Nothobranchius furzeri: one gene and its partner. The protein of the gene in region 2 purifies or fractionates together with the protein of the main gene of each other region. This does not show direct contact. Links are inferred from orthologs where the notes say so. Each region holds a gene or a part of one and is shown on either strand. Other genes may lie near its edges. The genes, in order: cell cycle control protein 50A and atp11c.

What was found.
Region 1: the proteins of atp11c (region 2) and cell cycle control protein 50A purify together in Homo sapiens (co-immunoprecipitation; 4 studies listed by BioGRID and IntAct, with this or other methods). This does not show direct contact. The link is inferred for Nothobranchius furzeri from reciprocal best matches to the Homo sapiens genes ATP11C and TMEM30A.

The regions. Positions count from the first base shown.
Region 1 is NC_091758.1:36,697,947-36,702,350, forward strand, and holds the start of cell cycle control protein 50A, read left to right. Parts: upstream 1-1,388; 5' UTR 1,389-1,593; coding exon 1,594-1,842; intron 1,843-2,459; coding exon 2,460-2,579; intron 2,580-4,404. UniProt on the Homo sapiens protein: Accessory component of a P4-ATPase flippase complex which catalyzes the hydrolysis of ATP coupled to the transport of aminophospholipids from the outer to the inner leaflet of various membranes and ensures the maintenance of asymmetric distribution of phospholipids.
Region 2 is NC_091741.1:83,723,329-83,727,153, forward strand, and holds part of atp11c (phospholipid-transporting ATPase 11C), read right to left. Parts: intron 2,233-3,825; coding exon 1,966-2,232; intron 1,859-1,965; coding exon 1,681-1,858; intron 1,601-1,680; coding exon 1,498-1,600; intron 1,416-1,497; coding exon 1,270-1,415; intron 1,063-1,269; coding exon 1,003-1,062; intron 555-1,002; coding exon 427-554; coding exon of another isoform or gene 423-426; exon of another isoform or gene 389-422; intron 1-388. UniProt on the Homo sapiens protein: Catalytic component of a P4-ATPase flippase complex which catalyzes the hydrolysis of ATP coupled to the transport of aminophospholipids, phosphatidylserines (PS) and phosphatidylethanolamines (PE), from the outer to the inner leaflet of the plasma membrane.

The DNA of each region.
Region 1 (4,404 bases), on a different chromosome or scaffold from region 2:
TTTTTAAAACAATGTCAGATAAAAAGGCAGAAAACTGTTCTCTTACTAGTATAAATGTTATATATATATATATATATATATATATATATATATATATATATATATGTGTGTGTGTGTGTGTGAAACATTTATACTAGTATTTGGGATGCAACGATACCACTTTTTTCCAAACTGATACGATACCAATACTTGGATCTGTGTATTCGCCGATACCAATACTTTTACCACTTACAAAAAATTTTAATTAAAAAAAAGCAATGAATTGGAATACAGGTTTTATTTTCTTCTCTGCTTTCAACAGAAACAGCCTGTGAGGTAGATAAAAAGTAAAATATGTGAATAGAAATCATCACAAAACTAAAATATTAGGTGAACAGAAATGACAAGTTACAGTGAAGCCACTTTCAAGCAACTGCATTGTCCTGATATCGGTTAACTTTTACCGATATCGGTATGGGTGCATCCCTAATATATATATTTATATATATATATATATATATATATATATATATATATATATATATATATATATATATGTGTATATATAATTTATTTCAATTGTAATCAGTGAGCGTGTTATCCATGTCCTTCCGAGCTCAGGTCATTGACCAGAGGCTTGGGAGCTTGAGGGTATTGTGCAGTAGCTCAGCTAGAACCGCACTTTTCTAGGCTGAGATGGCTGATGTTTTGCCTCAGTTCAAAGACCAATAAATGTCCTGCTGCATCGAATAAACACACACAGACATTGATACTGACATAATTTTAAAAAAAGGTCCTTATTTTGTTTTAAACAGGAAAAGTATGAATATATTTGGATTTCACAATGGATGTAAAAACTACTTAAATAAACTAAATAAAAACCAAATACAACAAAGATAGAATTGAATAGAAATGTGGTTATTTTTACTTTTTGTTCTGCGTCTAAACAAACTTTTCATTTGATTACTTGCAATCTGACGTTTGATTTGGTTGATGGCCACATACTTAGTCTATAATGGATTTATAGGTTGTATTTAGCGCAACTAGATGAAAACAGAAGAATTCAAACCTTTAATGTCCGTCTTTCCGGACATTCCACCCTCTAGCGGAATAAATATGTCAATAAGGACAGCGCTCATACAAGACTAAATTCATCAGCACTTTCTGTTGATTTCTTCAAAATAAAACATGCCACTTTAATTTTCTACGGTTTTACGGTCAGTGTTAACAGCATAGTTAGTATAACAAATGAGAACAAGCTAGAAAGTCCTGACGTATGAACCATACTACTGTACTATAGCTGAAACAAAAATAAACATAAACATTTCCGGAGAGCTGTCGCTACGCGTTGACGTCACTATAGCGTTCTATCATGTCATTGGCTCTCTCGCTTCCGGCTTCTTCCTTCTCCAAGCTCACGGAAGACATGAAATCATCAACAAAATGAATCGAATTTAAAGTCGAAAAGGATCGAATTAAGTGTCGGTCTCACTTCTGACGGGATTTCTTTCCGCATCTCTTGCCGTCTAGGGTCTCATTTGACCGTGTAGAACCACCGAGTATCTGCCGGTATCTAACTGTTGTGGATTATTAGGTGCAAAGCCTTTCGCAACCATGATGGCGTCAAGCTACAACGCTAAGGACGAGGACGGACACCACTCGGGCTCTGTGAGCCACGGAGGAGCAGGGACTGCTAAAAGTAAAAAACCAGACAACACAGCGTTCAAACAGCAGAGACTACCAGCCTGGCAGCCGATTCTAACGGCTGGCACCGTGCTGCCCGCCTTCTTCGTTATCGGTCTCATCTTCATCCCCATCGGTATCGGCTTGTATGTGACTTCCAACAACATTAAAGAGTTCGAGGTACAGTTCCTGTTATCTTCTCTTCTAGATGGTGTTTATCTAACTTCTAAAACCACAGCTGGGCAAATTAAATCAGACATTTCTACCCTCGTATGGGTTTCAAATCTAGATGTATGACTTTGTTTTGATCCTAGTATAAATTTAAAGTAACAGCAAAACAGCGCAGACAGGTTCTTAAAAGGGCTGTGTCTCAAATATCTCTACATAATTAATAATTATCCGTTAGTTTAGAATAATTATACACAACCCGTATCTGTTTATTACCCAGAAGGCTGCTTTTACGTGTTTATTTAGATAAATCTACATACTATCAATTTGTTCTGCATTATGGGTGATTGGATATTTTCTTTGCCCGTGATAAAGTCACTATTTGTATCTTAAATTTGCATTTGGGTGGATTTGTATAATTTTTTTCTAGCATAATGCAGTGTTAAACAAATGCAATATACTGAGCTGTAACCTGACATACACCAGCACCACATGCTATGAAATTATAACAAAAACAGAAATGGGTAATTCACACACACAAAACAATCTGGTTACCAAAAGTGTTAAATGAAAGTCGTAGAAAGCAACATTCCTTTTTCCTTTGATGTTTTATTTCTGCTCATTTTCAGATCGATTACACCGGTGTGAATGTGGACAGCCCATGTTACACGTGCGCCAACAACTTCAGCTGGAACAGCACCACGTCGTGCTCCTGCACTGTGAACTTCACGTTGGAGCAGCCGTTTGAGGTGAGCTCAGGTCCTGCACCAGCTTAGATCTATATCGACCCCATGAATAATAAATGTCTTCAGCTTCAATCCCGACAACACTCTCCTGCATTAAAAGAGTAAAGGCCAGCCGTCTCTGTTCTGGCATTGATCATCCATTAGGGTCGACTTATTTTTTTTATAAAAAGAACACTCGAGGTTTGTTTAAAAGCTATTTTAGCATTGATTGCTGTACCTATCAAATATGCAGGCTACCTTTCAGAGAGCTTTGATTTCTTTTGTTGCCTCTTTTTTGAAATAAGTTTGATTAAATTAAAACTCTTTGCCTTCTGAGTAGAAAAGAATGGCTATATTTCTAGTTTCCTTTGAAAATGCAATGTAGTGAAGGCAAGTCAACTGAAATTAATCATCGATCTGTCTTAAAAACTATTTATTACTAAGAGAAGTGTTGTTTATACCAGTGGTACTCAAACTTTTTTGACTGATGTACCCCCTGTGAAATATTTTTTTCAGCCGAGTACCCCCTAATGAGCGCAAAAGCTTTTTTGGTTGTAAGAAACAAAAGACCTTAAATAGAGCACGGTGCCTTCAGTGACTGATTTATTAAATTTTGGAACTGATAAACAAGTACAAAATTCAACCATTTGAAAATAAACTACTTCAAATATTTTAAATATTAATAATCCATTACTAAATGTATTGGAAATATTTTTCATCACTAAAATGTGATTCTAATTAATTAATTGAAAACAGTCACCATATAACTATTTAAAACCATAAGATTACCCATTGAAAAATCCATAAATGTGCAAAAACACTGCGATTTTGGGATAATGAATTTAGCCTACTTCTACTTCTAAACACATTTTATGAACTTTTATTTAATTATTTAATACATATTTTAGGAAAATATTAATTAAATAATTATTTTTTAAAGATTTTCCATGGATACTATTTTTTGAAATGTATGTACATTTTCTCACGTACCCCCTGGAGTTTCTTTACGTACCCCCATTTGAGAAAGGCTGGTTTATACGACACGAGTGCATAACATTTCTGCTGTGATTTGAATTCTGGTTAGGTGTAGGGAGGATTCCTGCTTTGTTTCATATTCAAATCTGGAATCAAGAGTTAAAGCAGCCGATTCAGTCACTGGGAATTGCAAAACCCACTTTATTTAAATTGAATTGGATTTTCTCTTTGTGTAAGCGCTTCGTCGACTTTTCCAACTTTTGAGATGACCGCAGCAGTTGGACCAGATTTAAAACAAAGGCTCGTTTCATCATCTTTTATATTTTTATCGAGTGTTGTTTGTATTCAGTTAACATAAAAAAAAATCCCTGAACAGCTTCTGGAAGATCGGTGAGTTTTGTGCAAATGCAGATTTCACAAGAACTGAAAATAAATTAAGAATAAAATGAATAAAATCTGGTTATTTCTTGGTAGAAAAGGCAGGAGTTGATTAAAAGTATCAGAATAAAGTAAAAGTTACTAAGTGGGCATCAGTCCCAAGATTTCTGAATAATGGGTGTCTATGAAAGGAAGGGCACGTACAGAAGTGTAGCAGTCTGACGGCTCCACACAGAGCAAATCTGATCACTGAGCTGGAACTTTTACAACCAGTTAACTCAACTTTTACAGCCTGCTCACGTCCGTGAAGGTTAATGTTTCCAAAGTGTGTTCGAAATGTCTCAAGTTTCAGCAAATAAATAGTCCTCTTTACAATTCACAGGGAATTCCTCCAGCACTAATAAATGAACTCATCTAAATTCCACAAATGTGGAATGACCTTCCAAGCACTATCAGAACAGGGGCTTCCTTTTCAATTTTCAAGAAACTCCTGAAG
Region 2 (3,825 bases):
CTGATTGGGGGAAGCTCGAGTCATCGTCACTACCTGGCTTCATACATGTTTATTTGGTTAAGACAATTCAACTTCCCCCTGGATTTTAACTGGTCTCCCTGCCCTGTGTCATAGGCACAACCTGCACAGACTGAGCTTTTATATGGGCATTTAGCTTTTGCAATTATTTCTAATAAATTGTCTATTTTTGAAGTGATCTGATTTTGTACTACATTGTCCACATTAATACTGGTTGGTCAGATTCACTTCATGCAACATCTTGGGGGCTGATCTTCGGGTGTTACACATATATAACTGAGCATTCAGGAAAGTTTAAACTCAAATAAAAACCAATGAAACTAAATTTACCCTTTTAATTGTCCTATGAAGTGTAAATAAAAACATTCACCTGTAGAGGGCAGCGTCTTCTATGAGAAAAACATTCACCTGTAGAGGGCAGCGTCTTCAATGAGATCCTCAATGCTGATGCGCTGCTCCAAAAGGCTGTAGGCCAGGATAGGCATGGAGGTGAAGCAGATGTTGTACATCGTCAGATAGGCTGCATCATACAGGGGCTGGGATGGATGGACCAGGAGGAGGTAATGAGGAGGGATGGGGCAACCAGGGGTTAATTTTATGGAGAGGACTAAACTCATAGAACCATTTTAACACACTGTCATAGTTACTTTTACACATATCTATATGCTATACCTAAACACCTATAGGTGTGATTTTTAACATGTTGCACTAAAATGTGTAGAATTAGAGATGCAATGCTTTGTGCTCCATTTCATAACAGGCTGATGTAACACACACGTAACCAAGATTGCATCATATTCTAGTAGAATCTGATTGCTCTGTAATTTGTCAACAAAGCAGAAACAAGCCAGGGCTGGTAAGGGAGAAAGCTTGAAGGGAAGAGTGTGGTATTCAGGAGGATTAGGAGCTACGGATTTAGGAGCTCTACCTCCTTTAAATATTCAGACTGTTTCTGAACCTCTGTGTGAAATTGGGAATACTCACTTGCTGGGAATATCCACAGAAAAACTGGTATAAAAACTGCGGTAGGATGAAGCAAAGATTCTGTGGGCAATACAGAAAAACAAATTAATACAATCAGTATAAAATCTGAATAAATCTGTTATTTTGTATTCATTTATCAGCTGAACTTGATTAAAATCAAATTTGTGAAATTAACAAATTAATCTGAAATCAGATTAACTTTTTGTTGACAATCCAAAAACTTTCTCAATCCTAAGAAAAAATTATCCAAAGAAATAGTTTTCCTACCTTGTAAAAGAAATACTGCACCAGGTGTGCGATGCGATGATAATACAGATGGCCGTGAGCCAACAACAGTTTCTTGAGGTGTTTGAGTTTAGGGATAGCATAATCGCTGTTTCTCACCGCCTGCCGACCTTCCTTACCCTTGATGCCTGGAACACCAAGAACAAAAATTATGACGCGATACATTCGCCCCAAAAATGTACAATTACTTGTGGTTGGAGAAGCCCTTACCAATGCCAACATGAGCTTCCAAAATCATGCTGACATCATTAGCTCCATCTCCAATGGAAAGAGTGATGGGACTTCCTTTAGAGCTTTTCACCATTTTAACTATCTAAGGGGCAAACCAAGACACATGTAACCAGGTCAAGTGAGATCACTTAACAAAAACAAATGGTTCTGATCATTTCTTACCTGTGCCTTCTGTAATGGAGCCATGCGGCAGCAAAGAACAGCTGTACAGTTTTGACAAATCTGTAGGAACAGGTCCTTGTAACTCCTCATGTTGGATTCAGAGGATGAATTGAGCACCATAGATAAAGAAGCTCCATCAATGATAAAACCATAATCCTGGTTCGACGCAAAACAGACCCTAACACAGAGAGGAAGAAATAGGTTAGTGCTTTAAGTTTCAGCTTAGAGACGGACGGACGGACGGACAGACAGACAGATCAATGTAATTATTTCAGCAGTACCAACCTGGTGCCACCTGCCTTTACCGGTGGAGCATCCTGAACAGCTCTCTTATGGTATTCACCCAAAAGTTCATGAAGTCGCTCCTCACGCTTCCTCTCTCCATCCTCTAAAGTACGCACAGTGAGCTCCAACAGTTCTGTTTTCCTCTGGAATAAACCACAGGCATAGCAGGTAGACTTGGCTGTCTCCATCTTGTCCCCCGTTAGGACCCAAACCTTCATCCCTGCTCTCTGCAAAGCTTCCATCGTCTCTGCTGCCTCCTCTTGAAGGCTTTGGAACAAGAAAGCATTAAGAATTAAAAATGATCAGACACAAAAACAGTCTCCTCATAACTCAATAAGCCTAAAGCACATATGTCAGACACAAGGCCCGCGGGCCAGATGCGGCCCGCGGAGCATTTTTATGTGGCCCGCGAGATAAATATCAAAAATATATTAAAACTGGCCCGCTGGCCGATTTTACCGCAAATACTTCGACTCCCATGATGCTTTGCGGCGCCAGCGCGGAGCAGACGCGCCCCCTCCTTTGTGTTTTTTCCAGCGTCTGCTGCCGGTGTCTGCAGCTCCGCTGTCTCGGACAAACTAAACACTCCTCTCACTCAGCACCGAGTTCACTCAGCTGTTTTCTGACGAAGCCCAGAAACGGAGATTCTAGCCGCTCAGTAATGTGTTCACGACTGAAAGAGAAAGTTTTCCAACTAACGTCCAGACAGAGCTGATATAACTCCAGCGAGCAGCGACACGCTCAAACCAGCACGGCTCTGTGGTTGTGTTTCCTCCCCGACACACAACAACGTGGTCAAGCTGCTCAGACATGTTCAGCAGCACAAACCTATGTGAGCACCTGTTGTCATCCAATGTTGTCATTATTATGATGAAGATGAACAAAACAACAGGAGTCTCCTCCTCAGCTCAGATCAACCCCATGATGCAGGTATCTGGCTGGAACAGGTGAGCATCACAGTAAACCAGTGGAGCAAACTGAGCTTTAAGTATTTTGGTTTTATGCTCTTTTTCTGCTTCAAAACATGAAAGTTAACAGGTGAGATGTTGCATTTTCATTTAAGATAAAATGATATTTTTATGTTGTTGTTGGCCCGTGAGAAAATATTTAACCTACAGTAAACAGGAAGTGGAAAGGCTGCAGATAGATGAATAGAATAGAAAATCCCTTTATTGTTCCTCAGTGGGGAAAGCTAGACGTCACAGCAGCGATGACACGTATTACAGGAGAAAAAAAAATAAGAAAAATGAATAAACAAGAAAACATAAATCCTGAATAGATTTTAAAAATGCTGATTATACCACAAGTAATGAATACCACTGATGCCTTTTATTTAAAACTGACTTGCTCGTGTGTCATTTGGTTATTCCACATTCAGTGTTAATGCAGAAATAAGTTTGTTTCCTAATTTAAAGGTTCAAAATTGCATATATGTTGATAAAGAAAATGTGCAAATTTGCAGTCACTTTTTCAAAAATATTAAGTTTGGCCCGCGACTCCATCCCAGATTTTCATTTTGGCCCCGTGTGAGTTTGACACCCCTGGCCTAAAGCATATTTATGCCCTAAAGGGAAAAAAAGACAATAACATGTGAATATTACCATCTCAGCAGGATTAACTAGTGCATCTATTCATGATTTCACATTGTGATACGTTTTAGCATCTTGATTTTGCATCTAGACCAATTTCCTGTAATTCATAAATCTGTCAGATGATGCAGAGCTTCATTAAAAAGCCTGAGAATGTTGCAGCTGTTGCTGCTCCCACAACATAACTTTATGGATCCAGTTTTGTTGCTGTTTTCAAAGTTTGTGACTGGGTAAAAGTGATGTGAGCAAAACATCTGTATACAAGTGTGAA